4 linked regions of the Stegostoma tigrinum genome follow. The protein of the gene in region 2 purifies or fractionates together with the protein of the main gene of each other region. This does not show direct contact. Links are inferred from orthologs where the notes say so. Each region holds a gene or a part of one and is shown on either strand. Other genes may lie near its edges.

Region 1 (7,930 bases), on a different chromosome or scaffold from region 2:
GCTAGAGTACCATTTCATAAATGAAAGTTCAAATCCATCCACAGCAACTGGGGAATTTAAATTATTTGACATTTGCCATCTTGAGTTCAAATGCAGGTAGCTTTGCATAGTGCTTTGGCCCAGTTTCTCTGGCTAAACATACAATTCTTCTAGCATAATACAACCTTCTTACTGTAGTTCACTGTTTATTGAAGTGGCAGCTGTCATAAGGGAGGTGCTGCTCAGGAACAGGCTCTCTGTTATCAAAGTTTAAGGTACAGTTGGTGGCTAGGGTGTCAATGTGGCCAGGCTCTATGTACTGGACAGCAGAGGAGTGGGCTGAACAGCACCAGTGCAATTGGATGTTACAGCATCAACTAACAACCACTACGCATCCAAAGCCTGTGATACTTGAGGAACTCATGGGGGTGGGGCGTCAAAGTGGCTGGAGTGTCTGGTGAGCTTCCAGGTGCACTGATTCCTTTTTGTTTGGAATTTGACATTGGCACCTGAAACCAAAACCTCCCTTGGGATCCTGCATCACACAATTTACCTTTTTATCTTTCAAAACAACAGTGTTTTCCTGTATGGGCTGCTGCACAATTTCCACTTCCTTTTTAGAGATAACAAAGTGTCGAGCTGGATGAACACAGCAGGCCAAGCAGCATCTTAGGAGCAGGAAGGCTGATGTTTTGGGCCTAGATCCTTCAGTAGATAAAATGATGAAAGGTCTAGGCCCGAAACGTCAGCCTTCCTGCTCCTATAATGCTGCTTGGCCTGCTGTGTTCATCCAGCTCTACACCTTGTTATCTTGGATTCTCCAGCATCTGCAGTTCCTATTATGTCCTGGAATAAGTTTTTACCTTCTGGCAACAGAAATACCCAGTGGACAGCTTTTTTATAAGGAAATCCTCTTCTTTCCATCAGGGATATGGGATGGAGAGTGTTACCTGCAGTAGTATCAAGCAATTTAAATTTAAAGTAGATTTACAGGCCACATTTAGCTTTTGTGACTTGGGGGAATAAATTTTTTATGTTTTTGTTTGGAATAACTTTTGTTTTTTTTAAAAAAGGGGTTGCTTTTAATTTTCTGGTTGCACTTCTGCCCAATGCTCCTGATTTATGGGCACCCTGAGAGGAGGAGGGGTGGACAGATCAAAGCACCTCCTTGTGGGATAGCTGCTCGGCATGGCCAAAGTGGACATCAACAGACTTAGCCAGCAGGCTTTGGACGGGGTGGCGGCTCTTTGCTGGTATCTGCCCCTTTTCTGAGGTCCACCAGCTCAATGAGGCCTTTAGGGGCCAGCAACCACGTTTTGATTTCGCTCTTACAAGTTTCCCTTAACCTTTTGTATTTCAGAGGCTATCTGTTATAAATCAACGTTTGTTTATTTAAAAGTGGAGATGGGGTAAGAGAAAAACAAGTCGTTTTCAAATATGCAGATTTAGCGAGAAGAAAGGGATGAACGTGACTATATACACATGCAGTTCAGATGCAAAAGGGAAAGATAATTATTAAGAAAGCAAATACAAAACAACAGTTGGACACCGTGTTTCCTGCTAGCAGCGAAGCAGTTTCCTTCCTCTCAGCACAGCCCTCCTGGGTCAGGGAAGAGGAATCTATCCGGCCCCTCAGTCACTGCAATCCCTACATGAGTCAGACCATTAACACGGCGCTCCTTACCAGGCCCGCGGAGTGTCCGGAGCTGGAGCTGGAGCTGGGCCCAGCCAGGCGGCGCCTGTCCCTGCAGTCTCCGCCGCCGCTCGCAGTGTGCAGCTCCTAGCCCGAGACACGACGGTGGGCGGCGGAACGGAGGGCTTCGGCCCACCAGAGGCAGGCGTGGCGGTAGCAGCAGCATCCTGAGGCCGTACTGCTACTTGCAACAAGCCTGTTGCATATCATCGCAGTTACAAACGGATAGGACTAACAGAGACTTTATCTCATACACAGACCGAACTACGCACATTTACAATAAGTACACCCCGGAATATCTACAAGGCGATGCAATTCTGTCCACACCTGGCCATTTCGCTATTTGGGGACTTTAAACAAATATGTTTTTGTTTGAGCTTTGGTCTTGGTTTCAACGCAACCAAGTTTCAGTTGTCTTACTCTAGCTTGTCTCGGTCACATTCCTGTAGTCGATCCGCCCGAGTCTTAACCAAGTCTTACTGGACGACAATAAGCAGGACTTTGCATTTTCAGTGTGTACACAACCTCTAGGTACTTGAAATAAGCACTTGAAAATGCTTTTAAACGGAGCAGTTTAGGCGGCATCTGCGAAGATGGAGAGACAGTGAACGTTTTCTGATACAGGACCATTCGTCGGAGCTGAAAAAAGTTAAAAATGTTCTACCTTATATTGATCCTTCTAGCTCGTAGGCTGTTCCACAAAACCTGAACCGTTAATTCTATTTCCCAGCATTTTTCTTCTTTTCTGTCTCTATATATCCACATTGCAGTATTCTGCTTCTTTTCGATTGCTTGGTACTAACATTAGATCCAAAAGGTTGTAGTGACCCTTCGTCCAGCGCTCAAACCACTCACGTGGGGCACAAAAATCTGGAACCTTATACCGGCTCCCAAAATAAAATGTTTTATCAGTAAACAGAAAATGCTAGAAATACTGAACCTCTCTGGTTGCATCAGGTGGAAAGAAAACAAAGTTAATATTTTAGATCAGCTATCCTTAAATTTCTGACAAATGCTGCCTAATCTGCAGAGTATTTTCAGCTGTTTTTTCAGTTTCCAGCAACAATATTTTACTTCTGTTTCATGAATTAACCTATGGCAATTTTACCTTCCCATGTTTCAGTATGCCTGCTTCACTAACTCTTGTTGAGAGAGTGGTCGAGGAAATTAGATATGAAAATGTAAATTATAAACATCTCCAGCATAAAAATTTCTTCCTTTCCTGACTTAGTCGATTATTTGAAGGGATGCACAAGAGATATCTCCATAGTGATACACACAACTTAGATAAAAAGGAGAGCCTGCAAAATACTGAAAATTTGATACAGAACCTGGAATTCTGCTGATAGGTTTATAAATCAAGAGTCAATTCTGATGAAGACACATAATTGAAATGTCATAACTTGTTTTCCTAATATATTTGTAGTGCTGTTTCCTCTAAATGCCTAGGTTCTGAGTTCAAGTTACACTCCAGGGCTTGAGCACAAAAATCAAGACTGAAATTTCCCGTACAAAACTGCAGAAGCATTGTACTGTTCGAAACAGTATGTCTTGTGGATATGGTGGTAAACCGAGGTCCCATCTGCCTGTTTTGTTGAATGTAAAATATCCCTTGAAACTAATTCAATGAAGAACAGGTGTATTATCCCTGGAGGCCTGGCTAACATATATCCCTCATAGACATTTTAAAAAATAAGCATAATTTGGTCACTATCCCACTGCTGTTTTTAAATTTAGATTTTATTGTCACATATACTCAGGTACAGTAGTACAATGAAAAATGTAAAAAGTCACCATTCTCTAGTGCCATCTTAGTATAAAGAGAGGAGGAAAAACACAAACAGAAATAAAAGAAACAGGCAAAACAAAAGGAAATGTCTAGATCACTCCCCCACCTCCACCATCAGTTCTTGCTCCCAGAAAAACAGTCACAAAGTCCATCCCTCAGTCTGCAAGTACTTAGATGCTCCAAGTCCCCACACATCACTGCAGCCAGAATGCCACCGCCTCTACTGTCAGATACCTGGGCCCAGCCACGTCCTGGAGCCCCACCACCGCCACTAGAACCGTGTCAGCACTGTTCGGCACCATCTTACTTCCACTAACATCGCCACCACGAGTCCGAGCTGGGTCAATCTTGGCAGTGCTGCCACTGCTGAAGCTCCCAGGTTTCCAAACGGGGCTCAAACTCCAAGTTGGGCACAGCACACTAAAGTGGCCAGTGCCTCATTCTAGCTTATGTTGCTGCCGCTTGTGGGAGTTTTCTGAGTGCAAATTGATTGCAATGTTTCCTAAATTACAGAAGTGACAGTACTTCATAGGTACTTAATGGGCTTCAAATTGCTTTGTGATATCAGGAAGTCTCAAAAATTGCCTTATAAATACAAGTCTTTTATTTCACAATAGTCAGATTTTTTCTCCTTATGAGTCTTAATTGATCCAAATCACAATCCTACAGGCAAAATGGATTGTGGATTATTTTGAAGTTTCATAATTTATTTTATGAATCCAAGATCTTTGAATACATTTATGTAAAAGCAAAATCCATCTGGTAAGGAACAAAAACTTACATTAATATTATAGCTTAGTAAAATTTCCTAAGATATTTCACCAGGTTGTACTAAGAAAACTAAATGGAGGTGACCAAGAGGAGATGCTTTTGAAGATGGAGAAAAGGTAGCAAGGCAGTTTAGAGATGCTATATATAATTGCAGACATCAAACAATAAGTTTATTTAGAATCACAGAACATGTCCACCAAAGATGACCATCTGTATCATCTTATTATTGCCAACGCACACAATTTTACTCAAAATTAGAATCTTACTCGTCCTCAAATAATTATTCAATCTTCTCTCAAAACACTTATCCACTAACGGTATTTTCCATTTTCCGGGAAGAATCCTAAACACTTCTTGGACAGCACTGTGATGCAACTAAGCTTTTGAAATAAAAAAAACTGACACAGGACTGTACATTTTCTAACGCAATAACACTTCATCATTTAACTTTAACTCAGTCTTACATGTTTCAACTTTAAAAACCTAACACGAAGCAATTTTTTAAAAAAGGCGAAAATATAAATGAGATTTTCCACCTTGTTTATTTTTAGTTCCGTTTTTGACTTATTAGAATTCTGTGCATAATTTCCTGCACGAACACACACACACAACTATACCCCCGTGCCCTCCTCTTCCTCTGCCCAACCCCTTTCCCGGTACGATAGCAAACGAATGAGAAGGTCTAGCAGTTGGAGTACGAGCTTGGACTCCGCCCCTCCTGAAAGCGTCAGGCATGAGGAAGCGGCGATGCTGTTAGGTTGCCTCTGCCGGTAGTTGCCGCTAACCAGCTCGTAGAGAGTAACGTGGGCAGCGGAGCCAAAACAACAAAAAAAAGAACAAGGAAGGGAAGGAGGAAAAGTGTGCAGCATGGCGGCGGGTGTGCGCTCTGTGTGTATTGTGCTGCTGTGTCTGAGCGGGGAGGTTCTGACAGGGTAAGTGAGAGGGAGAGATCTCCAGCTCAGGTTCCTGCAGCTCTTCCTATCTACCTTCACTTCACTGAATGAATATCATGGGTATTAACGCGTTAGAGTGACCCCCCGGTGTGATCATCGGGTGGGAACTTGTTCAGTTTTTTAACAAACAAAATTTTGCCAAGTGCGTTGTTCATCAGTCACTGAAAGGGCTGTAAGGTCTTATTTCAGTTGTGTGTATTTTCTTCATATCTCGTGTTTTTTTTTTGTTTGTGTCTGAGGACAGCCGGGATTTCTACAAGATTCTGGGGGTATCTAAAAGCGCCTCGGTGAAGGATATCAAGAAGGCTTATCGCAAACTGGCACTGCAGTTGCACCCCGACAGAAACCCCGACGATCCGGCAGCGCAGGCTAAGTTCCAGGATTTGGGGGCTGCTTATGAGGTACTGAGTAGGGGCAATGTAGGCTGAGTGTGTGTGCAATACCAGTGTAATGGTATGAGGGAGGGTTACCCGTCAGGTACATTTCGGCCTTTCCTTGTGAAGTCTCAGTCACTTCTTTTTACTTCTGAGTTATAGTGATGACAAATCTGGGAGACTGTGTGGCTTCAGCTCATTGGCTATTGGTGAAGGGGTGAGAGGTCACACTATAATCCAAGCCTGCTGGAGCAGCTGCTGTAAGATTCTCAATTTACATATTGTTTCAGTTACACATTTGCAGATCTCGTACACTTTTTAGTTTAACGTCTTTAAAACTGCATGTCCTGAAACAATACGACTATCAGTGTTTCTCCTAATAATACTTATTGTCTATTTTATACGCATGTCGTGTTTATGAATGGTAGGACACTTGTAGTGCATTTAATAGTTGAGGGCCTCCAAGTATGTTTAACTGACTAAAGCTATTTATGAAGCTTAAGCTTTTGTGCAAAGATTGTTCACTGACCTTCTGCCTAAATCTTAACACCCTCGGAGCAACAATTTATGTGAACTTCTTCCAAATTTCAGGAAGAAAGGCCTACCGTGATCACAGAATATCCCAATATTCTTTAAACAAATGAAGTTCTGTATTCCTTGATCTTGTTGGGGCCTCTTCTATAGTCTGGAAACTGAACATCACTTAGGTAACTTCTGCTAACAGTCCTCTGCTTTTGTCTGAAGATGTAATCTTGAACTCCCAATTTCTTGCTACTTCAGTTCTTTCTCCAAGTTTAACATCTATCTTTAGCTTTCTGTTTTTTTAATTAAGCTCATGAACTGTCTTTCTAAAATAATGGAATGGTTATAGCATAGAAAGAGGTCATTTGGTCTGTCATGTCAGCTGGCCTTCCAAAGGAGCACTTCATCTAGAGCCACTACTGTCTTTTTCGTGTAGTGCTGTAACATTTTCTTTTCTGGATAATGATCTAATTCCCTCCTGACAGTCAAAATTCACCCTACTTTTGCCACTCTCGGGCAGTGCATACCAGATCCTAACCTGTGTGAATGTTTCTCCTTGTGTTGCTATTGTTTCTTTTGCCAAATATCTTAAATCTGTTTTGTCTGGTTCTTGATCATTGCATTGTTGTTTTGTCCCTATCTGAACTCTGAAATTTTGGATAACTGTATTAATCTCCTCTTCAAGGAGGAAGACCTTCAGTCTGCCTTGTGTAACGGAAGTTTCTCATCCCTGGAGGCATTTTTTCTGCATCCCCTCTAATCTCTTCACTGGAAAATATGGTGCCCAGAAATAGATGTAATAGTCCAGATGAGGCTGAGCCAGTATTTGTAGAGGTTTAATAAAATTTATTGCTTGTTGACTTTACGACCATTAATGAAACCTAGGATGTCCCATCCTTTATTCGTTGTTCACTTGATGTGCCTTGCCATGTTAGGAATTTTCTTACATATTGACTTGGTCCCTCTGCTCCTGGTCTCTTTTTCAAAATTTGCATCTTTTACTTTGTATTGTTTCTCTGCTGCCTTCATGCTAAATTAATCATTTCACCCACTTCTGCATTATATTTCTCCTTTCTGACCATTTCACTATGCATATGACTTTGCTATCCTACACCATCTGCTTCATTGTTCACAATGGTTCCAAGCTTTGTCACTTGCAAATTTGGAAGTTTTACCCTATACAGGTTAGTAATTTGTCAGGTACTGTCGGTGTCCTAACAAATTCTTGGGGAAGTCATTCTTAAGTGGTCATCCTGTCTGAAAACAAACATTCAGCTGTTGTTTCCTGTCACAGTCAATTCTGGACCCATGTAGCTACTGTCCCTTTCATTCCATGAGTTCTAACTTTGATCATGGGTTAATGTGTGGCACTTTAACAAATATATTTTGGAAGTTGATAGACGCTATAAAAACAGCATTATCTTCACCACTATGATACCACTCAAACTCCTATCAAGTTGGTTAAACATGATTTACCTTTAACAAATCCACATTGGATTTCCTTAATTAACCTGTATTTACTTAAGTGACTAATAATTTTATCCAGCATTATCACCTCAGTTTTACCAGCACAGATTAAATTGACTGGCATGGAGTTGCTGGACTAGGCAATTTTCAACCCTCTGGCTATTACATTGAATTAATGTTTCACAACTTTGTACAGATGCCATTTGGCAGCCACAGTTAATGAGTGTGCTGACATTTTCAGGACTGGGGGAAGGAGCAAGTTAATATTTGGGGTAGGATTTAACCACCCTTGGTGTCCATTATCTTTTTCCCCCCTTAGTAGAGTCACAGGAACCTGCGTGATCTTGCTTTTTATTCATGGCTCCTTTTAATTTTTAGTTAT
Region 2 (7,883 bases):
GGCAGGACTAAACTCACCAGTTTACGAACTCTGTCCAGAACCAAGTCAATGATCTCCTTGCCAATTGTGTAGTGACCACGGGCATAGTTATTAGCTGCATCTTCCTTCCCAGTGATCAGCTGCTCAGGGTGGAACAGCTGGCGGTAAGTACCAGTACGTACCTCATCTAGGATCGAGAGACAGTGCAATTTCAGTGTTACAATCAACACATGTAACCACAAGATGAAATCAGGCTCATGTGGCATAACCAGAGAAGAGGTCTGCACGGTTAGTGTTACACATGCCCCTCACCTACCTATTACAGTTGGCTCCAAGTCCACAAACACAGCTCGTGGAACATGTTTGCCTGCTCCTGTTTCACTGAAGAAGGTGTTGAAGGAATCATCTCCACCTCCGATGGTCTTGTCACTGGGCATCTGCCCATCAGGCTGGATGCCATGTTCCAAGCAGTAGAGCTCCCAGCAGGCATTTCCGATCTGGACTCCAGCCTGGCCAACATGGATACTGATGCACTCACGCTGTAAGAGAAACAAACAAAGTGGTGATCAACTAGTTTGACATCTGATCTAAAAACATTCCATACAAACTTTTACTGCATTCATGCTCTGGTAAGCATTACCTTTAGGAGAAAGTCTACTACTCCCTTGATGGGTAGGCAGGCAGATGCTACCTCCATCAGCAAAATACATCTGATTGTTGCCACAGATGTCTTACTAATCAGTTGTTAGGACAGTCATGAATGATGTAAAGGCTGGATAGGTAACCACATAGCAATTTGAGGCAGCTGAAGACATGTAGTTTATGAGAAGCATCTGTACTTGATTGGATTCCTTGTATGACACTGTATTGGAAAGCATTTGAGGGGGTGGTATTACTCCCATTGTGGTCACATGCATCAGGTCTATGCTTGACCTATACAGATGTGGTTCAACTGCATCAGGTCAACTTCTATTTAAGTATCATATACTTGACAGGAGTGCAACTCATGCTGGAGAGACATATGAAAGGGGCAGGCACGCAACTCAAGTTGGGACTGAAACAGAACTGAAATTTAGTATTTCAGATTTGCAGGTAATATGGAAATCAAGCACATCACCCAGCCATTTAGCAATCGGCATATGCCATCTTCAATATTGCATCAGTGTCAATTATGATAAAACAATTACTTCATAAAGTGTACTCCACCATCCCAACATACATTTAATGCTTTTAGCAATTGTTGACATTTCTCAAAGAAATTAAATCTTATTTTGAAATCAATGATTGTTCTTGGGTATACATTTAAGAGGATACTTGATTTAGACGTTTCCTGAAAAAAAATTGAAGCACAAGTAACGATTTTACAACCCACTAGACCCATCTGTAAAAACAGTTATAACCTAGAATGGGATTGCTGTATAAATCCAAAGTTTTTTTTAAAATGAAAAAAAATCGTGTATCATGGAGAATCTCAGAATCCCTACATGCAGAAGGGGGCTATTTGGCCCCTCGATCTGCACCGACCCCACCCCAAAGAGCATACGACCTAAAACCCTCCGCATCCCTGCATTTCCCGTGGCTAATCCGTTTAGCCTACATCTGTGAACACCATAGATAATTTAACACGGTCAATCCAACTAACCTGCACATTTTTGGATTGTTAGGGGAAAACCAGCAGAAACCCATACAGAAGCGGGGAAAACATACAAATTCCATAGTCACCCGAAGCTGGAATCGATCTTGTATCCCTGATACTGGCCAGAAAAAGGGCACATCCGTGCAATTCTTGCGTTTAGCATTGCAATACGCAAACTAGCTAGAATTTCTGGTTCGGATGCTGAATTTGGGTGGGGTCATACTGCAGTGCAGATTGTCTCCAACTGCCGCCATGTCTCCCCTCCCCCCGACCCCTCCCAGAAGGGAAGCAGACGGATTACAACCACTCTCCCCTACACCGCCATCTTTTTTATCTTTAAGCCCAGTAATTTAGACAGGCTCCATTATCCGTAGTTTGATTCTTAGCACAGCTTTACGATGTACAAAAGCTGCCTATTTCACGGTGACCTCGTGTTGACGTTGGCTTTGTGTCCACGTATGACCGTCACTGACGTGTACTGTTACTAAGCAGCCCTACAGTGATTTCACTAGGGAATGGGGACGAAAGCTTTCAGTTTGTAGCTATGGTTGACAAGCCATTGAGCAGTAAGTGTGGAAACGTCAGTAATCCCGACACAAAGCAATTTCGGGGGTCGGGGGGGGGGGGGGGGGGGAAGTATGCCAAATTCAGCTCACACCCTCTGCACGTTGAGAGTCACTGCCCATTGTGTTCCAACATCTCTTTCACATATCCTTGTAGACATATGCAGCGATTAGCTAGCGAAAAGCCTAGAAGTGATCTTAAATTCGCTGTTAAGTGTAACGGATTTTTTCCCTCCGGATAACATTACTTGCAGAAGTCCATTGAAATGGCTTTATTTCATCACCCTTAGCATTAAGTGTGAAATTGATTGTATTGACGGAAAATTGCATGCGAATAGCGTACGTGTACACTATCTTTGATAGCAAGTTATTCCCGTTGTAATTAAATCATTCACAGGCAACGTAGTTTGTTGCATTGTATTTGCAACACGAACAGATCATTTGGTCGGTTTATGCTCACATGAGCCACCTCCCACGCTATCAGCCTTTCTTCCGTTCCTTTCACTTCGGACCGCATTTAGCTATCCCGTGATGTTTATGTTCACGAGATTTGCGTAGTGGAATTTAGAAATTAAGTCAGACAAGTGTACTTAAAAACAACAATTAAGATGCTTAAAAACGAGAACAAGTCTTACAACACGAAATTCCAACGTGTAGCTTGCTGGGGAGAAAGAAAACTCTTTTTGTATTAAACAGCATCTTACCATGATGCCTGGTCCTTGATAGTAGACAAAACAAATGGAATAAAGAGAGGACTTCAGCGACTTCTTCCTACAGCGCGACTTTTACGGGTCGTCGTAAGAAAAAACCTACCCTCAGCTGGGAGAGACATGTTCTTATAGTGGGGCCAGACACCGGGTCCTGGTCAGTGGAGCCATTCCCATTGGAGGAGGTCTGTTTGAGTGACGAGGAACTATCACAATGCTGACTCTCTGATTGGAGGAAACATGCTCCGTTAACCGCTTCGCGGGTTCTGATTGGGTAGACGCTCCTGAATAAACTAATCGCCTTGACCACGAGTGATTTGGAACAAAGGCTGACATTTGAGAAAACAGCATTTGAACTGGCGACGAAATAGTAAGATTCCGGTTTTCAGAGGATAAAATACCTCAGCAATTAATCAAACCACTGTTCTTCTGAAGTAATAAGATGGCCTTGCCTTATAAAGAGAAATTCAAAGGAAATATTTTTTCACTGATAACATCATGGACTACGTTGAACTGCTTATTTGATGAAGGAAATTATTAAATATCTTATAAATACCAATTTACAGATTAACAATTTTCTGACTATTCTCTTCGTTAAAAAGTTTTTCATAATTAACGAAGCCACGTTTCCATCTATTTTACACAAGGAATTTCCCGCCCCCAACGAATAATGCATTCTTTTACAAACCACGTTCAATCTTTTAGCAGAATTACACGACTAGAACCTGCATGTAAAAAGGTGGTATTTTATTTACTGGCCACTGTAAAATTAATACAATAATTCGTGAAGTTTGTTACATTCGTGAAGTTTGTTACATTAGCTCTTTGTAACGATATAAGACGGAATTGCTGTTTCTCTCACTGTATCAGAAAATGTTCTACACGTTGCAATTCGGCCAGCGCGTTCTGTTAACGGCGCCTTCTCAGTTCTAAACTGTCACATCCCGACAAACTTCGCCGCAAATATTGCCCTCCATTGGGGCAGGATCGGGAGACAAAATAAAACGGATTCCTTGGTAATAGCAACTTTGTCTCTTGTTGCTATTGTTTCATGTTACGAAACTGGCTGTGGAATGGGACAGGGTGGGGCGGGGATTTTTCAGTCTTTTGTGCTGGACACGCGTCAATACAGTGTAACTATTTTAAATTGAAGCGGTTTCAGAGAAACAGTCTATTCCTGATTTTGTCGAATTATTAAAAAAAACGAATTTTAAAACATTTCCCACGAGCATTATTATTTTTATTCTATTGTATTTTAGGTGATTTTGACTGTCCGGAGTAGCATATTTCAGCAAACAGACAAAGGCAGTCCTACACACTGGATATAGGGACGTAGTTTTCTTTGCTGGTAGAGAAGGCATAAAGCTGATTATTACACCAGACATTAGCCCGGTGTAAGCTTCAATCACACCTATCAGCTGATGGAGGGAGTTTGTGTCTCGAAATGGAGGGGTCCAGATTCGATTGTATTGTAAGCGTCTCCAATAGATTTGTTGATGTTATCTGAACATATAAATGTGCCTGTTATATGTGGAAGTCAAATTTCGCTGTCTTATTTGTACGGGCAGAAAACCATATCTGGATATTTTCTAAAGTGGGAAAAATTATTATTCGCCCCCAGTAACAATTATGCATTTCAAAAGAATGGTCGCTCGTGTAACATGTGACTCACACTGCAGCTACAGCGTTCTACGTGATTCATTCTGCAGTGACTGCTTTCTCCCCTTTTCCTCAGGATGAGAGCACTAGGTAGTCACAATGAGCCATTTGCTACATCACCCAAGTAACCATTTTTTCACATGGTTGATCCTAAACAGCCATTCATCGCTTGTCATTGTCAGGAGAGTGAGGGCACAACCGTGCTGCTACATGGCGTGATATGGAGCCACGCAGAATAAGAGGGCACGGAAACAATCCAATCTCCCCATCCACATACGATCCTTTTCCCATCCTTCCCAAATCAATTCCATTAGAAAACCCTCCAATCCCTTTGTCTCAGATTCCCATCTAGGTTCTACTTGAATTAATCTATGCTATTTCCCTGCAGCCACTCCCTGGTAATGAATTCCACATTCTCACCATTCTTTTGGGTGAAGAAATTTCTTGGGAATTCCCTACTGGATTTCCTGGGGACTTTCATGTTGCTAACCTCTGGCTATACTCTTCCATACAAGAGGAAACATTCCTTCAGTATCCATAAAAAAAATTCATCCTTTCAAAGATCGCTATTTGCTCACCCCTTAATCTTTTTCAAGGGAAAACAGACAGCCTATTCACCCTTTCCTGATGGGTATAGCCTCACAGTTCTGGTATCATGATTTTCACAATCGGAGTAGGAATCATAGTTGATTTCACCCTGCCTGGCTCTTGGTCCTGAAGTTAGTTTTAGCAGTTACAGTCCCCAAGATCAACTAATTCATGACAAATAACTCCATTTCAACAAATGTCAGGCAGCTGAAATTCAATCCATAACTTTGTTCAACAGAATCTTCTAGATAAATAACACACTTCAGAAATGTTGCACTGCAATAATGATCTAATGAAGGAGAAACATTTGGTGTACAATAATAATTTTAAATGAATATAGAGAACAATAGTTATTTGGGAGAATTATGAGACTATAGTAAGTTGCTAGCAAATACTGAGGAACAAAGAGACCTTGGTGCACAAGTCCATAGATCCCTGAAGGTGTCAGCACAGGCAGACGGGGCGGTGAAGGTGGTGTACGGGAAGCTTGCCTTCATGAGCTAGGGTATAGAATTTGGAACAAGGAAGTCTTGTTACAATTTTATAAAGAACTGGTTAATCCACAGACGGAGAACTGTGTGCAGTTCTAATCACCAAATCCAAAGGATGTGACTGCACTGGAGAGGATACAGAGGAGATTCATCGGGATGTTGCCTGGGATGGAAAGTCTTAGTTATCAGGAGAGACTGAATAGCCTGGACTTGTTTTCCCTGGAGCAGAGGAGGCTGACGGGGGGATCTGATTGAAGCGTACAAAATCATGCAAGACATAGGTAGGGTCAATGCAAGAATCTTTTCCCCATGCAGATATGTCTAAGACCAGAGCAAATACGTTTATAGTGAGGAGTAGGTGGTTTTCAGGGAATCTGGGGAAAACGTTTTCCCCCAGAGTGTGGTAGAAATATGGAACATGCTGCCTGAGGGGGTGCTGGAGGCAGTTACTCTCACAACATATGAGCAGCAGCTGGATGAGTACTTAAAATACCACGGCATAGTAAGCTACAGACCAAGCACAGGTAAATGGGATTAGTTTGGTATTTGTTGTTCAGCATAGACATGGTGGGCTGAAGGGCCTGTTTCTATGCTGCATGTCTATGATGGCTGAAGACATGGTTGATAGTGATGGTGTTAAAAGAGGTGGAGATTTGAAAGAACATGGAGTTCTTGGAGAGTTGGAGTAGAACACAGTGATATGTTGGAGTGAGGCAATGATAATGAATAATACAAGAATGACCATTTTAAAAAGTTAGATTTAAGTGGACCAGGAACCAATATAGAATGATATACAGCCTGTTTTCTGATCCCTGAAATCAGATTACAAGCTGTTCACTTCACCTGTAGGCATCCAAACTCTGCTGCCCATTTCCAAATGCGGATCAAGTTCCATTCACTTGTCACCCCTGTGCTTGCTGTCCCTTGTGTCATTCTAGATGGTGACTGTTGATATGTAGTTCAATGATAGGTTAAATCTCAGCCAGGGCTGATGATAATGCTCATCTGCTATCTATGTGTCCTTCTCAGCAAGAGTCACTGAGGAAAGCTGAAAGTATAACTGATATTCTTTAGTTTGGAGACGTTGAAGTATCCCTCTTACTCCCCAGGCAATTCAGAAGGACCTTTCTGGTTTAATTTTCTGGCTGCATTATCCACTTGCCTACTGGCAGAACCACAGCCATCTTCAAATGTACACATGTTAATCCAGAAATCTGTCTACCAATGCCATTGATTCTGCCCAAGATACCGATCAATCAATCGCTGACCCTGGGTTTATTAAATCGACAGATAGATAATTAGAAATGTGAATCCTGTTGGGCCACTTTTGGCTTGCTGATTGTTTTTTATGAATAGTAAGAAGAACATTTTTCCTTTATAATAACGCATTTCTGCTACAATGAAACTTAAGGACAAATAATTAAATTATTTCCACAATTCTTTTGTTTACTGGTTCAAGAGCATGTCAGATTTGCCACTGTCAGTAATCTCAACACAGCTTGCCTCTCCTAGATTGCATGTTGGAAAGCTAATTAGAATGGACAGTCAATTTTTCAATCCTGTCGCTAGGAGATGAATAGCTCTGTTACCATGGAGACTGCCTTGGCACCCTGGTGGGTTGTAAGCCTCTTTTATCACATCAGAGCATACGACTGCTGTCACATCCATAAAACAGTATTTGCAATTCACTTTTTAGGATATTGTAGGCACTTCCACAATCCAATTTCCCTATATAATTGTGCAATATCTTTCAGAGAGAGTTGAAAGAAAAGAATCAGTATCTAATTGAATCAGAGATAATGGGAACTGCAGATGCTGGAGAATCTGAGATAACAAAGTGTGGAGCTGGATGAACACAGCAGGCCGAGCAGCATCTTAGGACAAAAGCTGACGTTTCGGGCCTAGAACCTTCATCAGAAAAGAAGATGCTGCTTGGTCTGCTGTGTTCATCCAGCTTCACACTTTGTTATCACGGCATCTAATTGAGTCAGTTTAGTTTGTAAGAACAGAAAGAAACTTGCATTTCATAATCTCAGGGTCTTCCAAACACTTTACAGCCAATGAAGCACTCCAGTTGTCTTCATTGTACTGTAGAAGACGTAGTCAGCAATTTGCATACACCACTCAATGTGATGATGACCAGATAACATTGTCTTCAGTGATGTTGGTTAAGTGATAAACATTAGCAAGGCACCAGGGGATCTGCCCACTGTTCTTTGAACAGTGATCCTGGGATCTTTGCATTCACCTCGGAGGTCAG
Region 3 (7,744 bases), on a different chromosome or scaffold from region 2:
CTTACACAAGCAGTATGATGTTAGTGTGAAATGGAGAAATGATGGAACTAATTGTGTGGCAAGACAGGTCAAAATTGTGGGCAGATTTTGAAAGTCTCTTGAAAACATGAAAAGTGGTCAAGAGGCTCATAACTGCATTGCTGTTGTGTACAGCATAATTCATGATTGAATAAAGTTGCCAGTTAGATTAAATTGTAGCAGCTGAGCACAATTTGGTAGCATTCTCATCTGAGTCAGAGGTTAGTGGGTTCAAGTGACTCTCCAGGACCTAAGCATAAATATACAGCTCAGACCTTCCACTGCACACTGACGGAGTTTTAGATCCAACAATGAAAAAGTGAAGCCCCATCGGCCCTCTCAGGTGGGTATAACAGATCCCAAGATATTATTTAAAGGAATAGCAAGGGAGGATATTCCTGATGTCCTGACTAATATTTATTTCTCAAACAGTACTGAAAAAAAATGATTGTTCAGTTAATAGCATATCCGTGAATGAGGCAGCTTGCTACATGCTCCATGGCTGTAGCATTTGACATTACAGGTAATTTATACACTTTTGAAATGCCGTCAAGTACTTTGGGACAAACAGATTGTAAACGCTGGTATATAAATTACACAGTTTTTAATTTGTAAATCATGCAAATTTTGATTTATGCGAAAACAGCAGCATCTACCTTTTGTTGCCTCCCTTCAGCCTGTTTCGAAGACCAGCTCATAATTAAGAGCGTGTACATTTTCTGTTGTTTGGCGTTGTCAACATTAAATATCCCCCAGTTTCAAGTACTGTACTGCGGTATCATTCACAAACATGAGGCATGCGTGAAATTTAGTGTCAGCTCACTATTTCACCATGGAAACATCGGAGCAAATCAGATTGTGCCCATAAATGCAACCATTGAGGCACTGCAGCTATGTCCACTGGAGATCTGTACATTCCCAAATAGGGTTTACGAACATAGATCGGGACCCTGTCAATCTTTCAATGGCTAACTCATAGGAATGGACGGTAACGGTTTGATCTTTACAGCTGCCCCAATGAACGGAGTTATAGGAAGTAACGCTGACATCAGGAAATCGAATTTGGAATCTTTCAGGTCGTATGGGCCTACCACTGATTCTCACCATTTAGTTTAGAAGATTATTGAGAAACAGTTCATCTCAGATCTCAATTAAGCAAAGTCAACAATTTTGGATAGCAGACTTTACCTGCAGATGATTATAAAAGATCAAAACATTCAAAAAAACTGTTTACTATTCCAGTGGGAATATCAGGGTAGTGGTCAAATGTTTCCGAGCATGCTTAAACTACAATAAAACATGCCAAACATAACCCCCCCCCATGTAATATCCCATTATAATTGGTGTATGCCAGTCGTTTCACTGTGCATCTCATCTCTAATAGTTTTAACTGCAAAACTGAGTGGTGTTTGTTTACAATATTACTCCCTACAGTTGATTTAATGTACAGAATAAATGCTACATAAATAAACTAGGCCATTAAAATTACCCATCTTACATCGTACGGAACTGTCTCCATTATTGATGCCTATATTTACATATTTAACTACGGAAGAAATGTCATTTTATAATTTGACCTTCCCCCTAGTAAGAGCTACGGTACCGCCACTGGCAGAATTGTGTAATTACAAGACATTTTATAGTAAACAGGATGGTTTTGTAATTGTTGTAAATTCCTAAAGACATAATGACTGACTTAAAGATAGGAACTAAGTTCCGTTTGTATCCTCTCGTCCGATCCCCACCGCCCGACCCCTCTTCCATGTTCAACCTGAAAAACACATTCAATAGAGAACATGTCCATCTCTAAATTTCTCTGAAACTGGACTAACAACAACAAATACGATCACCTCTAAACCCTGGTTTCAAGTAAAAAGAACGAGTTTTTGGAAGAAATATGCACTTAGCACAATATAACGCAGTAATTCTAATAACCACTAAATAAACTGCTTTCACCCACTCAAGCATGACCTTTGAGGTACTGAATATTCAAAAGAATTTAAATTTAGAATGCCGCATTTCAGTCCAAGTATTCATGTAAACACAAAACTCCGCAAACGCTGAAGCAAACCGGGACTGTAATCGAAAACCTTGGAGCAGCTGGAGGACTGGGAATGGTCAGTGAAGGGATGCAATACCCTTTCTCTCTCTCTTCCTGCACTCGGTGCAATAACACAGCCGTAGATGGGGAGCTGAGGCTGGTTTTTAAAGCTCCTCTTTCCACGTCATGCAGGCTCATGTGATCGGATAGAGAGAGAGAGAAAGAGAGAGACCATAACAAGCCGGAAAAACACACATAAGCAGCACTGCCAGCCTCCTCCCGCTGCACTTGGCGGGGGGGGGGGGGGCAGTGGTAATGCCCCTAACTCTGAGCAAGGGGATCACGGGTTCAATTCCCCAACCAGAGCACAGTACATCTCGAAACAAGTTGATTATGAAAACAAGTTTCTTGAACTCGCTACACACGGGGGAGAAGCTGCCCGGCACTCGCGGTGTCAGCGGCAGCAGCTGGGACGGTGCTGTGCCAGCTTTAGCCCGCCCCCTGGGGAAACTGAGCGGAGTATACTGGGCTTCGGCTGTCACCCGTGTTTACGGGAACGCCGGGGATGAGAGGGCTCGGATTTAAAGGGCCACTCCGTGGGGTCATCGGATTCGGGGCAAGGTGGGTGGCTGGTCTAGAGGGTAGACATTGCAAGCAAAAGGTGGGGGGGGGGGGGGGGGGGACTCCGGGACTGAACAAGAGAAGAGGTGAGGGTGAGGGTGGGGGCGGTTGCTGCTACTGCCCTGATACACACCCTTCCCCTCCAAGTGACAGGCTATCGGTCACCCCCACCTCCGGATCCGCTCTGCCGGTGGGGCTTTGCCCCCTTACCCTGGCGTGGAGAAGTTTTCAGCAGCGCCCCCACGCCCTTTCTATACGATGTGGGCGGCAGCGGCTGCTCCTTGCCCCCACGGAGGTTGTCCCCCCCTCCCACCCCAAGGCCAATCTTCTCCTCCCGGAGCTACAGCCCCGACCTATTTGTTGACGGATGTGACGTGCCGCCGAAGACGTTACATTGTTGCTAGGAGAGAAGGGGGACACGTGACGGCCGCCAGCCCTCGTCTCCATGGGAACAGACAAACGCTACACACTCTCCCCCTCCCCCTCCCCCCTCCACGCTCTGAGCTAGCCTCCCTCAGCCCATCAGGCAGGGCCACTCTAACATCAGTCACACAGCAACAGGTCATAGAGCTGGGACTGACAGGTGCCCCACTCTCTGCCCTGATGGCCAGCTCCCTCACAATGCCACCGACCACATCCCCTCCATTCTCTGCCCTTTCATGAGGACTACTCTCCTCCCATGACATTATCATCCACTCCTCAGTCACCCCCCAACGCGTCCTTCCCCGTGTAGTTCGCATTTTCCCATGTTATAGTTCGTTTGCTAAATTTTTTGCTCACTTAGCCTGTATATATCCTTTTGTGGATCTCTCCGTTGACAACTTACTTTGCCGCACATTTTGAAGACATTGGGAAATATAGATATTACACAGTCTATCCCCCATTCAAATTATTGATTTATATTGTACGTAGAGGGTTGGTCAGCTCAGTTGTCTGAATGGCTGATTTACAATGCAGAGTGATGCCAACAGTGTGGGTTCAAATCACACACCATTTATGGTTACCTAGAAGAACTCTCCTTCTCAACCTCTCCACTCACTTGAGATGTGGTGACATTCAGCTTAAACCACCACCAGGTGTTTTTCTCTCTCTCTCTCTCTCACCCTCTTGCTCTTTCTCTATCTCTCTCTAATGAGAGAGCAGGTGTATGGTCCAGTAGAACTACACCAACTTTACCTTTAGTTGAGGACTCAGCAGTGCTCCCTGAGGCACTTGACTCATTAGTTTGCCAACACACAACCTCACTCAATCCTATTCTCTGCTCCTGTTAGCTAATCAAAGCTAATATGCTACACCCATAGCACATGTTCTTATTTTGTTTAGCTACCTTTGATGTAGCACCTTACCAAATGCCTTTTACAAATCCAAATAGAGAACATGCACTGGTTTTCCTCCATTTACCATTGACATTACTTTATGAAAAATACTTTCATAGATTGGTAAAACACGATTTCCCCTTTCACAAAGATTCTCTCTGCCTGATCACTGTGATTTTCTAAGTGTTCTGCTTGGACATTGTTCACAATGGATCAAGCACCTTCCCTACAATTGATGTTAAGGCTCTTAGATCTATAGTTTGCTGCTTTCTGTGACGCTCTTTCCCCCAAAATACTACTACCTGCTTTTAATTTAGTCCCTCGCTGTTCACACTCAGCAGAACCTCTTTCCAAGTTCTACCTATATTATTGCTGTCTATGGGGATCTTGACCAGTGGATCCTTCCACTTCCAGTGGAAGATTCCCTTTAGCCCAAAGCAGATGTCCCAAATCCTGGCACAAGGTAGGAAAACAAATCCTGGCACCTTTCTATGTAACAACAGAAGATGTAACAGTGATAATGGGAACTGCAGATGCTGGAGAGTTCCAAGATAATAAAATGTGAGGCTGGATGAACACAGCAGGCCAAGCAGCATCTCAGGAGCACAAACGCTGACGTTTCGGGCCTAGACCCTTCATCAGAGAGGGGGATGGGGAGTGGGAGCTGGAATAAATAGGGAGAGAGGGGGAGGCGGACCGAAGATGGAGAGTAAAGAAGATAGGTGGAGAGAGTATAGGTGGGGAGGTAGGGAGGGGATAGGTCAGTCCAGGGAAGACGGACAGGTCAGGGAGGTGGGATGAGGTTAGTAGGTAGATGGGGGTGCGGCTTGGGGTGGGAGGAAGGGATGGGTGAGAGGAAGAACCGGTTAGGGAGGCAGAGACAGGTTGGGTTCGTCCCCTCCCCCCACTGCACCACACAACCAGCCCAGCTCTTCCCCCCCCACCCACTGCATCCCAAAACCAGTCCAACCTGTCTCTGCCTCCCTAACCGGTTCTTCCTCTCACCCATCCCTTCCTCCCACACCAAGCCACACCCCCATCTACCTACTAACCTCATCCCACCTCCTTGACCTGTCCGTCTTCCCTGGACTGACCTATCCCCTCCCTACCTCCCCACCTATATTCTCTCCACCTATCTTCTTTACTCTCCATCTTCGGTCCGCCTCCCCCTCTCTCCCTATTTATTCCAGCGCCCTCTCCCCATCCCCCTCTCTGATGAAGGGTCTAGGCCCGAAACACCAGCTTTTGTGCTCCTGAGATGCTGCTTGGCCTGCTGTGTTCATCCAGCCTCACATTTTATTATCTTGGAAGATGTAACAGTTATCTTTCTACTTTGTCCCTTCCAAGTTGCCTGCAGCTCTCCACCTTCTCAAGGCAACTAACAATGAGGAATAAATGCTGGCCCAGGCAGTGACATCCACATTCCACATGAATAAATAAAATGTGAAACAGTGATTGCCTTGTACTTTATCTAATGTAACACATTGAAAGTGCTGTTCAAGATGTACTGTGCTCTACACTGGGAAGACTGAATGCAGACTTGGTGACCGCATTGCAGAACACCTGTTCAATTTGCGAGCATGACCTGAATTTCCTGTCATTTCCTGCAAATCTTCATGTTGCTTCAAGTCTGATCTTTCTGTCCATGGCCAAGTACGATTTTCCAAAGAAGCACAATACCAACTCAGAGAATAACATCTCAGCATTCATCTGTCATTTCTCAGTCTTCTGGTCTCAATACTGTGTTCAGTAACATTTGAACAAGAGTTCTGCCTCCAACTTGTTCCTTGTACTTTATTTTGCTGGTTTATTTCATTATTTATCCTGATATATTGTATGCAGATGGTTACTATATAGCCAATCCTACTTAATCTCCTAACCTGAACATGATCTTTCGCTATTTATAATGCCCATTATCATTTTCTTTAGATTTTGAACACAAAATCTTTTGTTTGTTAATCTCCCACCCCTATCACAAACCCTAGTTTTTATTATTTCCAGCCTCCTCTCCCATATCTACTGGTTTTGAAACTTTACATTTCTTCTCAGTTCTGATAAAGGTCATTGACTCAAAATGTTAATTCTGTTTCTCTCAAAAGATGCTGGCTGACCCACTGAGTACTTCCAATAATTTTTATTCACACTTGGTCAAGAAATGCACATTAAATTCTAACAAAACACAAACTATGAGAGGAACTGTACAAATTGCACCATGCATATAGGAAAGTAATGTTCTGGGTTTTGTCGCTGCTCAGTGGACAGAAACTTCCAGAAGACTCTTGTTATATTTTGACAAATTCATGTTAAATTAATTCAAAAGTTTATTTGGCAGAAATGTTTACTTCACTCCACCCTTTTGTGATATTGAGAATCAAAAGTTATACAATACATGGGCTGTATTACTAACAACAGGAGCCTACAGACACTTCGCTCAATAGAGGTATTTTGTTTTATTTATTTATCCCTCACAGCTGGAGGAATGTTACTGTATCTCTGGTGGTGCTAAGCTTATGTTAATGCGTATAGTTCTTCTAAAAGTACTGGAGCCAGCTTTGTTACATGGCCCTTGTAGGCATATCAACATCCTTTCAGTTATCAGCTTATTTTTATTTGTTCATGGGGGTATGGCTGACCAGCATTTATTACCCATCTATAACTGTTCATTAGAGCTGCCTTTTTGAACTGCAGTTGTCCATATAGGCTAAGTACACCTACTATGCTGTTAGGAAGGGTGTTTCTGATTTTGACCCAACAACGGTGAAGGAATGGAGATTTAGTTCCAAAACAGAATACTGTGTTGCTTGTAGGGGATCGTGCAGGTGGGGTTGTTCCCATGTAACTCTTGCTATTGTGCTTATTTATGGCAGAATTTACAAGTTAAGAAGATGATGTCAAATGGGTCTTAAGTTACTTCAGTGGAATTTGTAGACTGCCATCAATATGTCATGTCAACAGTATGCACAAAGGGAGAAAGAATGTTGATGGTGATTGATGGCAACAGTGCCTATCGAGTGGGCTGCTATGTCCTAGTTGGTGTCAATGTTCTTGAGTTGGAGCTGCATCTATTAAGTCAAGTACACAGTATTCCACTAAGCTGCTGACAGGTATTGGGCAGACAGGAGGTGAGTTGGTTGCCCCACTTGAATCATCTGAAGACAGTTGGACCTAGACATTGCCCTAAGGAATTCTCACATCAATATCCTGGTACTGAGACTGGCCTCCAAGAATCACAACAACCTTCCTCTGTGCTAGAGAGTTTTCCCCCTGATTCCCATTGACTCCAGTTTTCCCAGAGCTTCTTGATGACACTCAGGCAACTGTGACCTTGATGTTAAGGACTGTCATTCTTACCTCATCTAGGGAGTTCAGCTCTTTTGTCCATGTTTGGACAAAAGCTGTAACAAGGTCACGAGCTGAATGACTCTTGCAGAACCCAAACAGACAAGTATTATTCATAATGCAAAAGTGACTGCCAAGCACCATCTCTGAGAGACTCAAACCATCTCTCTCTTGAAATTCAATGGTATTACCATCACTGAATCCCACAGCTATCAACATCTTGATGGTTGCCAATAACCAAAAACTGACTGGACTAACCGCATAAATACAGTGGCTACAACAGCAGGTCTGAGACTTGGAATTCTTCAGTGAGAAATACCCCTCCTGACTCACCAAAGTCTGCCACCATCTATAAGGCACAAGTTATGAGAGGAATGGAATGCTCCCCACTCACCTGAATGAGGGCAGC
Region 4 (7,003 bases), on a different chromosome or scaffold from region 2:
CACACACACACACGGCAGGGGAGAAGATAGACGGAGACACACACACACACACACACACGGCAGGGGAGAAGATAGACGGAGACACCCACACACACACGGCAGGGGAGAAGATAGACGGAGACACCCACACACACACGGCAGGGGAGAAGATAGACGGAGACACCCACACACACACGGCAGGGGAGAAGATAGACGGAGACACCCACACACACACGGCAGGGGAGAAGATAGACGGAGACACCCACACACACACACACACACACGGCAGGGGAGAAGATAGACGGAGACACACACACACACACACACACACACGGCAGGGGAGAAGATAGACGGAGACACACACACACACACACACACGGCAGGGGAGAAGATAGACGGAGACACACACACACACACACACACACACGGCAGGGGAGAAGATAGACGGAGACACACACACACACACACACACGGCAGGGGAGAAGATAGACGGAGACACCCACACACACACGGCAGGGGAGAAGATAGACGGAGACACCCACACACACACGGCAGGGGAGAAGATAGACGGAGACACCCACACACACACGGCAGGGGAGAAGATAGACGGAGACACCCACACACACACGGCAGGGGAGAAGATAGACGGAGACACCCACACACACACGGCAGGGGAGAAGATAGACGGAGACACCCACACACACACGGCAGGGGAGAAGATAGACGGAGACACCCACACACACACGGCAGGGGAGAAGATAGACGGAGACACCCACACACACACGGCAGGGGAGAAGATAGACGGAGACACCCACACACACACGGCAGGGGAGAAGATAGACGGAGACACCCACACACACACGGCAGGGGAGAAGATAGACGGAGACACCCACACACACACGGCAGGGGAGAAGATAGACGGAGACACCCACACACACACGGCAGGGGAGAAGATAGACGGAGACACCCACACACACACGGCAGGGGAGAAGATAGACGGAGACACCCACACACACACGGCAGGGGAGAAGATAGACGGAGACACCCACACACACACGGCAGGGGAGAAGATAGACGGAGACACCCACACACACACGGCAGGGGAGAAGGTAGACGGAGACACCCACACACACACGGCAGGGGAGAAGATAGACGGAGACACCCACACACACACGGCAGGGGAGAAGATAGACGGAGACACCCACACACACACGGCAGGGGAGAAGATAGACGGAGACACCCACACACACACGGCAGGGGAGAAGATAGACGGAGACACCCACACACACACGGCAGGGGAGAAGATAGACGGAGACACCCACACACACACGGCAGGGGAGAAGATAGACGGAGACACCCACACACACACGGCAGGGGAGAAGATAGACGGAGACACCCACACACACACGGCAGGGGAGAAGATAGACGGAGACACCCACACACACACGGCAGGGGAGAAGATAGACGGAGACACCCACACACACACGGCAGGGGAGAAGATAGACGGAGACACCCACACACACACGGCAGGGGAGAAGATAGACGGAGACACCCACACACACACGGCAGGGGAGAAGATAGACGGAGACACCCACACACACACGGCAGGGGAGAAGATAGACGGAGACACCCACACACACACGGCAGGGGAGAAGATAGACGGAGACACCCACACACACACGGCAGGGGAGAAGATAGACGGAGACACCCACACACACACGGCAGGGGAGAAGATAGACGGAGACACCCACACACACACGGCAGGGGAGAAGATAGACGGAGACACCCACACACACACGGCAGGGGAGAAGATAGACGGAGACACCCACACACACACGGCAGGGGAGAAGATAGACGGAGACACCCACACACACACGGCAGGGGAGAAGATAGACGGAGACACCCACACACACACGGCAGGGGAGAAGATAGACGGAGACACCCACACACACACGGCAGGGGAGAAGATAGACGGAGACACCCACACACACACGGCAGGGGAGAAGATAGACGGAGACACCCACACACACACGGCAGGGGAGAAGATAGACGGAGACACCCACACACACACGGCAGGGGAGAAGATAGACGGAGACACCCACACACACACGGCAGGGGAGAAGATAGACGGAGACACCCACACACACACGGCAGGGAAGATAGACGGAGACACCCACACACACACGGCAGGGGAGAAGATAGACGGAGACACACACACACACACGGCAGGGGAGAAGATAGACGGAGACACACACACACACACGGCAGGGGAGAAGATAGACGGAGACACACACACACACACACGGCAGGGGAGAAGATAGACGGAGACACACACACACACACACACGGCAGGGGAGAAGATAGACGGAGACACACACACACACGGCAGGGGAGAAGATAGACGGAGACACACACACACACACGGCAGGGGAGAAGATAGACGGAGACACACACACACACACGGCAGGGGAGAAGGTAGACGGAGACACACACACACACACGGCAGGGGAGAAGGTAGACGGAGACACACACACACACGCGGCAGGGGAGAAGACAGACAAAGACATACACAAGTTGGAGAATACAGGAATGGAAGAGAGGCTTTTGTTTTCTTTGGTCAGCACCCCATCTCCATAACAACCTGTTTCCTCAAGCGAAATCAGCTTTATTCCAAGGCCGAAAGGCCCACGCATTTAGATAAACCAACGGCCTTTCACCCATTTTGTTTTGTCTCTGTCTCTCTCTCTCTCTCTCTCTCTCTCTCTCTCGCTGGCAGTACGCCTCCCCCGTTCGGCCTCACTCCCCTCTGCCAGCATAAATCTGAGCTGACGACAATCGCGACCGGCTACGCGCTTGGGAGGCTATCCTGGAGTATTCTTTTTAAGGTCTCACCTCTCGGTTCCGTACGCCTGCTCCGACTTACTACAACCCAGACTTCGCCCTCACCAACAACTCCCGCTCTAGAAACATCCACCGGCCGCCGAACGGAGAGAGGGGAAAAAAATCTCCGCTTCGTCACTTCCTTTTGGCAGTTATTGCGTCATTATGACGTCGCCCGACCGCTGCTCATATGTGACGTCACCTTTGAAATTTCTGGAAAATGGCGAGAGAACGGTGGCCTGGTATCACGTGGTGGTGATGTGAAGCCGGCTAATCGTTCACCACACAAGCGGGGAAAACAAAGCACTGGAGTTTACAGGAATGAAAGGTGATCTCAATGAAACATCTTGGATTCGTAAGGGGCTTGACAGGGTCAATGCTGGGAGAAACAAAAACAGAAGTTGCTAGAAAAGCTCAGCAGGTCCGGCAGCATCCGTGAAGAAAAAAACTCAAGAGTTTAACGTTTCGGGACCAGTGACCCCTTGCTCAGTACACATTTTTTCTTCTTCACTGATGATAACAGACCAGCTGAGCTTTTCCTGCAACTTCTGTTTTTGTTGTTGGCCCCAATTTAGGACTGATATGAGGAGGAATTTCTTCTCTCACAGGGTTGTGGACTGTTTGCCACAAAGAACCAAGAGTTCTTGTGTGCGTTTATGGCTAATATAGGATCTTAATCAGTAGGGAAATAAAGGGTTATAGTGATAAGGCAGGAAAGTGGATGTGAGGAATGTCTGATAAGCCATGATTTATTGAATGGTGGAACACGCTTGAGGTTACTCCCGTTCCTAATTCTTAAGTTTTTATGATAGTACAGGCTAGAACACACCTTTGACACTGTTGGAATTTCCACCTGGGCTCTGTTGCCCAGTGGTTGGACATTACATTGTGCGATCCTCTTTATGCATAGCCAAACACGCAGGCATCAGCCTTATTTGTTCACAATAATCCCACCTTTTTTAGGGATGAGGAAATGTTCAGCAAGTACTTAATAGAGTGAAGAAGAATGAGACTTATAAGATCTTGAGGTTAAGTGTGGAGCTGGAGGAACACAGCAGATCAGGCAGCATCAGGGAGACAGTCTAGAGGAATGGCGTAAACCTGAAACATCGACATTCCTGTAACTCTGAAACTGCATTACCTGCTGTGATCCTCCAGTTCCACACTGTATTGACACTGACTCCAGCATCTTTGGTTACTACTGTCTCCTAGTGACTTTAGATCTTAAGGTTACTTGACACGATGGATGCTAAGCGGATGGAACAGTGCAGAGCATGGTTTCAAAATAGCAGGTGATCCATTTAAGACTGAGATAATACGCTTGGAGTCTACTTCCTCTGGATCCAGTGGTTGAATTGGTTCAAGATGCAGTTGGGTGGATATTTGATAAGTGGGAGGAAATAGTTAGCGGGAATAGGGCACTCAGGAGAGTGGAGTTGAAAACTGCAGTCACATCAACTTGATCTTACTGAACAGCAAAACATGCTGAAGTGTCCAAATGGCCTACTCATTGTTCTTGTGTTCTTGATTTGAGTATTGCTGAAATTGGACAAAACAATAACCCCACCACCAAAAACATTTTTCCATCCCCACCCTTGCCTGCCTTCCGGAGAGACCACTCTCTCCGCGACTCCCTTGTCCGCTCCACACTCCCCTCCAACCCCACCATACCCGACACTTTCCCCTGCAACCGCAGGAAGTGCTACACTTGCCCCCACGCCTCCTCCCTCACCCCAATCCCAGGCCCCAAGATGACTTTCCATATTAAGCAGAGGTTCACCTGCACATCCGCCAATGTGGTATACTGTATCCATTGTACCCGGTGTGGCTTCCTCTACATTGGGGAAACTAAGCGGAGGCTTGGGGATCGCTTTGCAGAATACCTCTGCTCGGTTCGCAATAAACAACTGCACCTCCCAGTCGCGAACCATTTCAATTCCCCTTCCCATTCTTCAGATGACATGTCCGTCATGGGCCTCCTGCAGTGCCATAATGATGCCACCTGTAGGTTGCAGGAACAGCAACTCATATTCCGCTTGGGAACCCTGCAGCCCATTAGTATCAATGTGGATTTCACTAGCTTCAAAATCTCCCCTCCCCCACTTCATCCCAAAACCAGCCCAGCTCGTCCCAGCCTGCCTAACCTGTTCTTCCTCACATCTATCCCCTCCTCCCACCTCAAGCCGCACCTCCATTTCCTACCTACTAATCGCCCCTTGACCTGTCCATCCTCCCCGGGCTGACCAAACCATTCCCTACCTCCCCACCCATACTCTCCTCTCCACCTATCTTCTCCTCTATCCACCTCCCCTTCTCTCCCTATTTATTTCAGAATCGTCTCCCCATCCCCCTTTTCTGATGAAGGGTCTAGGCCCGAAACGTCAGCTTTTGTGCTCCTAAGATGCTGCTTGGCCTGCTGTGTTCATCCAGTTCTACACTTTGTTATCTTGGATTCTCCAGCATCTGCAGTTCCCATTAGCTCTGTCAAAATGCCTGTTTCAACTATATCAAGTTCTGTTCAACCAGGTAACTCTTTTTTCTTGATTTGGTACAGATATTCAAGATCAAGTGCAGCTTAACACAGTAGAGAGGAAGAAGCAAGCCTATGAAGGCATGAATTTTAAAGGTATTTGAGGAAAGTGTACAAGATCATGAGGCATAGATGGACTGGATAGCCAGAGACATTTTCCCAGGGCAGAAATGACTAGTCCAAGAGGGCATAATTTTAAGGTGATAGGAGGAAGGTACAGGGGAGATGTCAGAAGTAGGTTCTTTACACAGAGAGTGGTGGGCACATGGAATGCACTGCCAGCAGTAGTAGTGGAGTCAGATACTTTACAGACTTTTAAGTGTCTCTTGGATAGGCACATGGTTGATAATAAAATGTAGGGTATGCAGGGTAGCTTGATCTTAATAGGATAATAGGTTGGCACAACAGTGTAGCCAAAGAGTCTGTACTGTGCTGTACTGTTCTATGTTCTAGAAGAAAAAGTGATGAACATGGGAAATGTTCATGCAACAAATAGTTAGAATCTGGAATGTACTCCCTGTGAGTTTGCTAGTGGCATTCAAAAATCAGTTGGGGTACTATTTGAAAAGGAAAGTTGTGCAGTGCCACAGCTTGAGGACTAAGGAGTGGCACTTGGTGAATTGCTCCTGAAAAGAGTTGGTGCAAACACGACAAGCTAAACAAGTTCCTTCTGTGCAGTAATTATTCTACAACTCCGCAGTAGATTTCTCATGTCTCACTTATCTACACTATGTTTCATCCTTTTTCTGAAAATGACTGTATTAATTTTAATCCATCTTATTCTTTCAAAGAGGGAAATATATTCTTTTTGGAGTGCGTTCTTTTCATAGTTGATCTGGGTCAGTCATATGATGTGGGTCTTGTTAACTAGACCAGCATTTTATTGTCCTGGTTTGAGAAGATGGTGGTAAGCCCCTTTCATTAACTGATGTTGACCTTAAGATAGCAAAAATACCTCCAGTACTAGCAGGACACCGTTCCCCAAATTTTAATCTAGTGGCAGTAAAGGAATAGCAATTATAGTTCCAAGTCATGATGGTGTGTAACTTTGAACGAAATATGTGAGTGGTTGCACTCCTGTGTATCTGTTGCCTTGTCCTTCTAGATGTTGGAGACCACTGGTTTGGAAGGTGCTGTTGAGGGAGTCTTGGTGAGTTACTGACAACTCAGTGTGGAGCTGGAGAAACACAGCAGGTTAGGCAGCATCAGAGAAGCAGGAAAGTTGATGTTTCGGGTTAGGACCCTTCTTCAGGACTGGGCTGAAGAAGTGTCCTGCCCCGAAAAACCAACTTTCCAACTTCAAACTGTGTTGTCTCTGACTCGAGCATCTGCAGTACTTACTATCTTTTGGTAAGTTACTGCTGCACTTCTTCGAGATGGCACATGTTGCTGCCGCTGTGTGGAGGTGGTGTAGGGACTGAATGTTTGAGGTGGTGGATTAGTATCATTCCAGTAGACTACTTTGCCCTGGGTGGTGTTAAGCTTCTTGAGTGTTGTGGAGCTGTACTCATCCCGGCAATTGGGAGTATTTCATCACACTCCTTATTTGTGTCTTGTAGAAGATAGATTAGATTTGGGAACTTAGGACGTGAGTTACTTGCCACAGAATTCTAA

Evidence for each region.
Region 1: the proteins of tubulin alpha-1A chain (region 2) and dnajb11 purify together in Homo sapiens (affinity purification with mass spectrometry; 3 studies listed by BioGRID and IntAct, counting the BioPlex papers as one, with this or other methods). This does not show direct contact. The link is inferred for Stegostoma tigrinum from reciprocal best matches to the Homo sapiens genes TUBA1A and DNAJB11.
Region 3: the proteins of tubulin alpha-1A chain (region 2) and T-complex protein 11-like protein 2 purify together in Homo sapiens (affinity purification with mass spectrometry; 3 studies listed by BioGRID and IntAct, counting the BioPlex papers as one, with this or other methods). This does not show direct contact. The link is inferred for Stegostoma tigrinum from reciprocal best matches to the Homo sapiens genes TUBA1A and TCP11L2.
Region 4: the proteins of tubulin alpha-1A chain (region 2) and dnajb6b purify together in Homo sapiens (pull-down; 3 studies listed by BioGRID and IntAct, with this or other methods). This does not show direct contact. The link is inferred for Stegostoma tigrinum from reciprocal best matches to the Homo sapiens genes TUBA1A and DNAJB6.

What each region holds. Positions count from the first base shown.
Region 1 is NC_081360.1:29,052,077-29,060,006, forward strand, and holds the start of dnajb11 (dnaJ homolog subfamily B member 11), read left to right. Parts: upstream 1-4,921; 5' UTR 4,922-5,099; coding exon 5,100-5,164; intron 5,165-5,429; coding exon 5,430-5,586; intron 5,587-7,930. Other genes in the region: tbccd1 (TBCC domain-containing protein 1), read right to left, coding at 1,664-1,838. UniProt on the Homo sapiens protein: As a co-chaperone for HSPA5 it is required for proper folding, trafficking or degradation of proteins.
Region 2 is NC_081404.1:13,027,746-13,035,628, forward strand, and holds the start of tubulin alpha-1A chain, read right to left. Parts: upstream 3,020-7,883; 5' UTR 2,886-3,019; coding exon 2,883-2,885; intron 519-2,882; coding exon 296-518; intron 167-295; coding exon 18-166; intron 1-17. UniProt on the Homo sapiens protein: Tubulin is the major constituent of microtubules, a cylinder consisting of laterally associated linear protofilaments composed of alpha- and beta-tubulin heterodimers.
Region 3 is NC_081378.1:36,829,939-36,837,682, forward strand, and holds the start of T-complex protein 11-like protein 2, read right to left. Parts: upstream 3,001-7,744; 5' UTR 2,891-3,000; intron 2,234-2,890; exon of another isoform or gene 2,109-2,233; intron 1,210-2,108; exon of another isoform or gene 675-1,209; intron 1-674. UniProt on the Homo sapiens protein: Promotes the migration of muscle-derived satellite cells (MDSCs) during differentiation throught interaction with FMNL2 and therefore may participate in microfilament assembly.
Region 4 is NC_081355.1:140,060,034-140,067,036, forward strand, and holds the start of dnajb6b (dnaJ homolog subfamily B member 6b), read right to left. Parts: upstream 3,017-7,003; 5' UTR 2,872-3,016; intron 1-2,871. UniProt on the Homo sapiens protein: Has a stimulatory effect on the ATPase activity of HSP70 in a dose-dependent and time-dependent manner and hence acts as a co-chaperone of HSP70. Plays an indispensable role in the organization of KRT8/KRT18 filaments.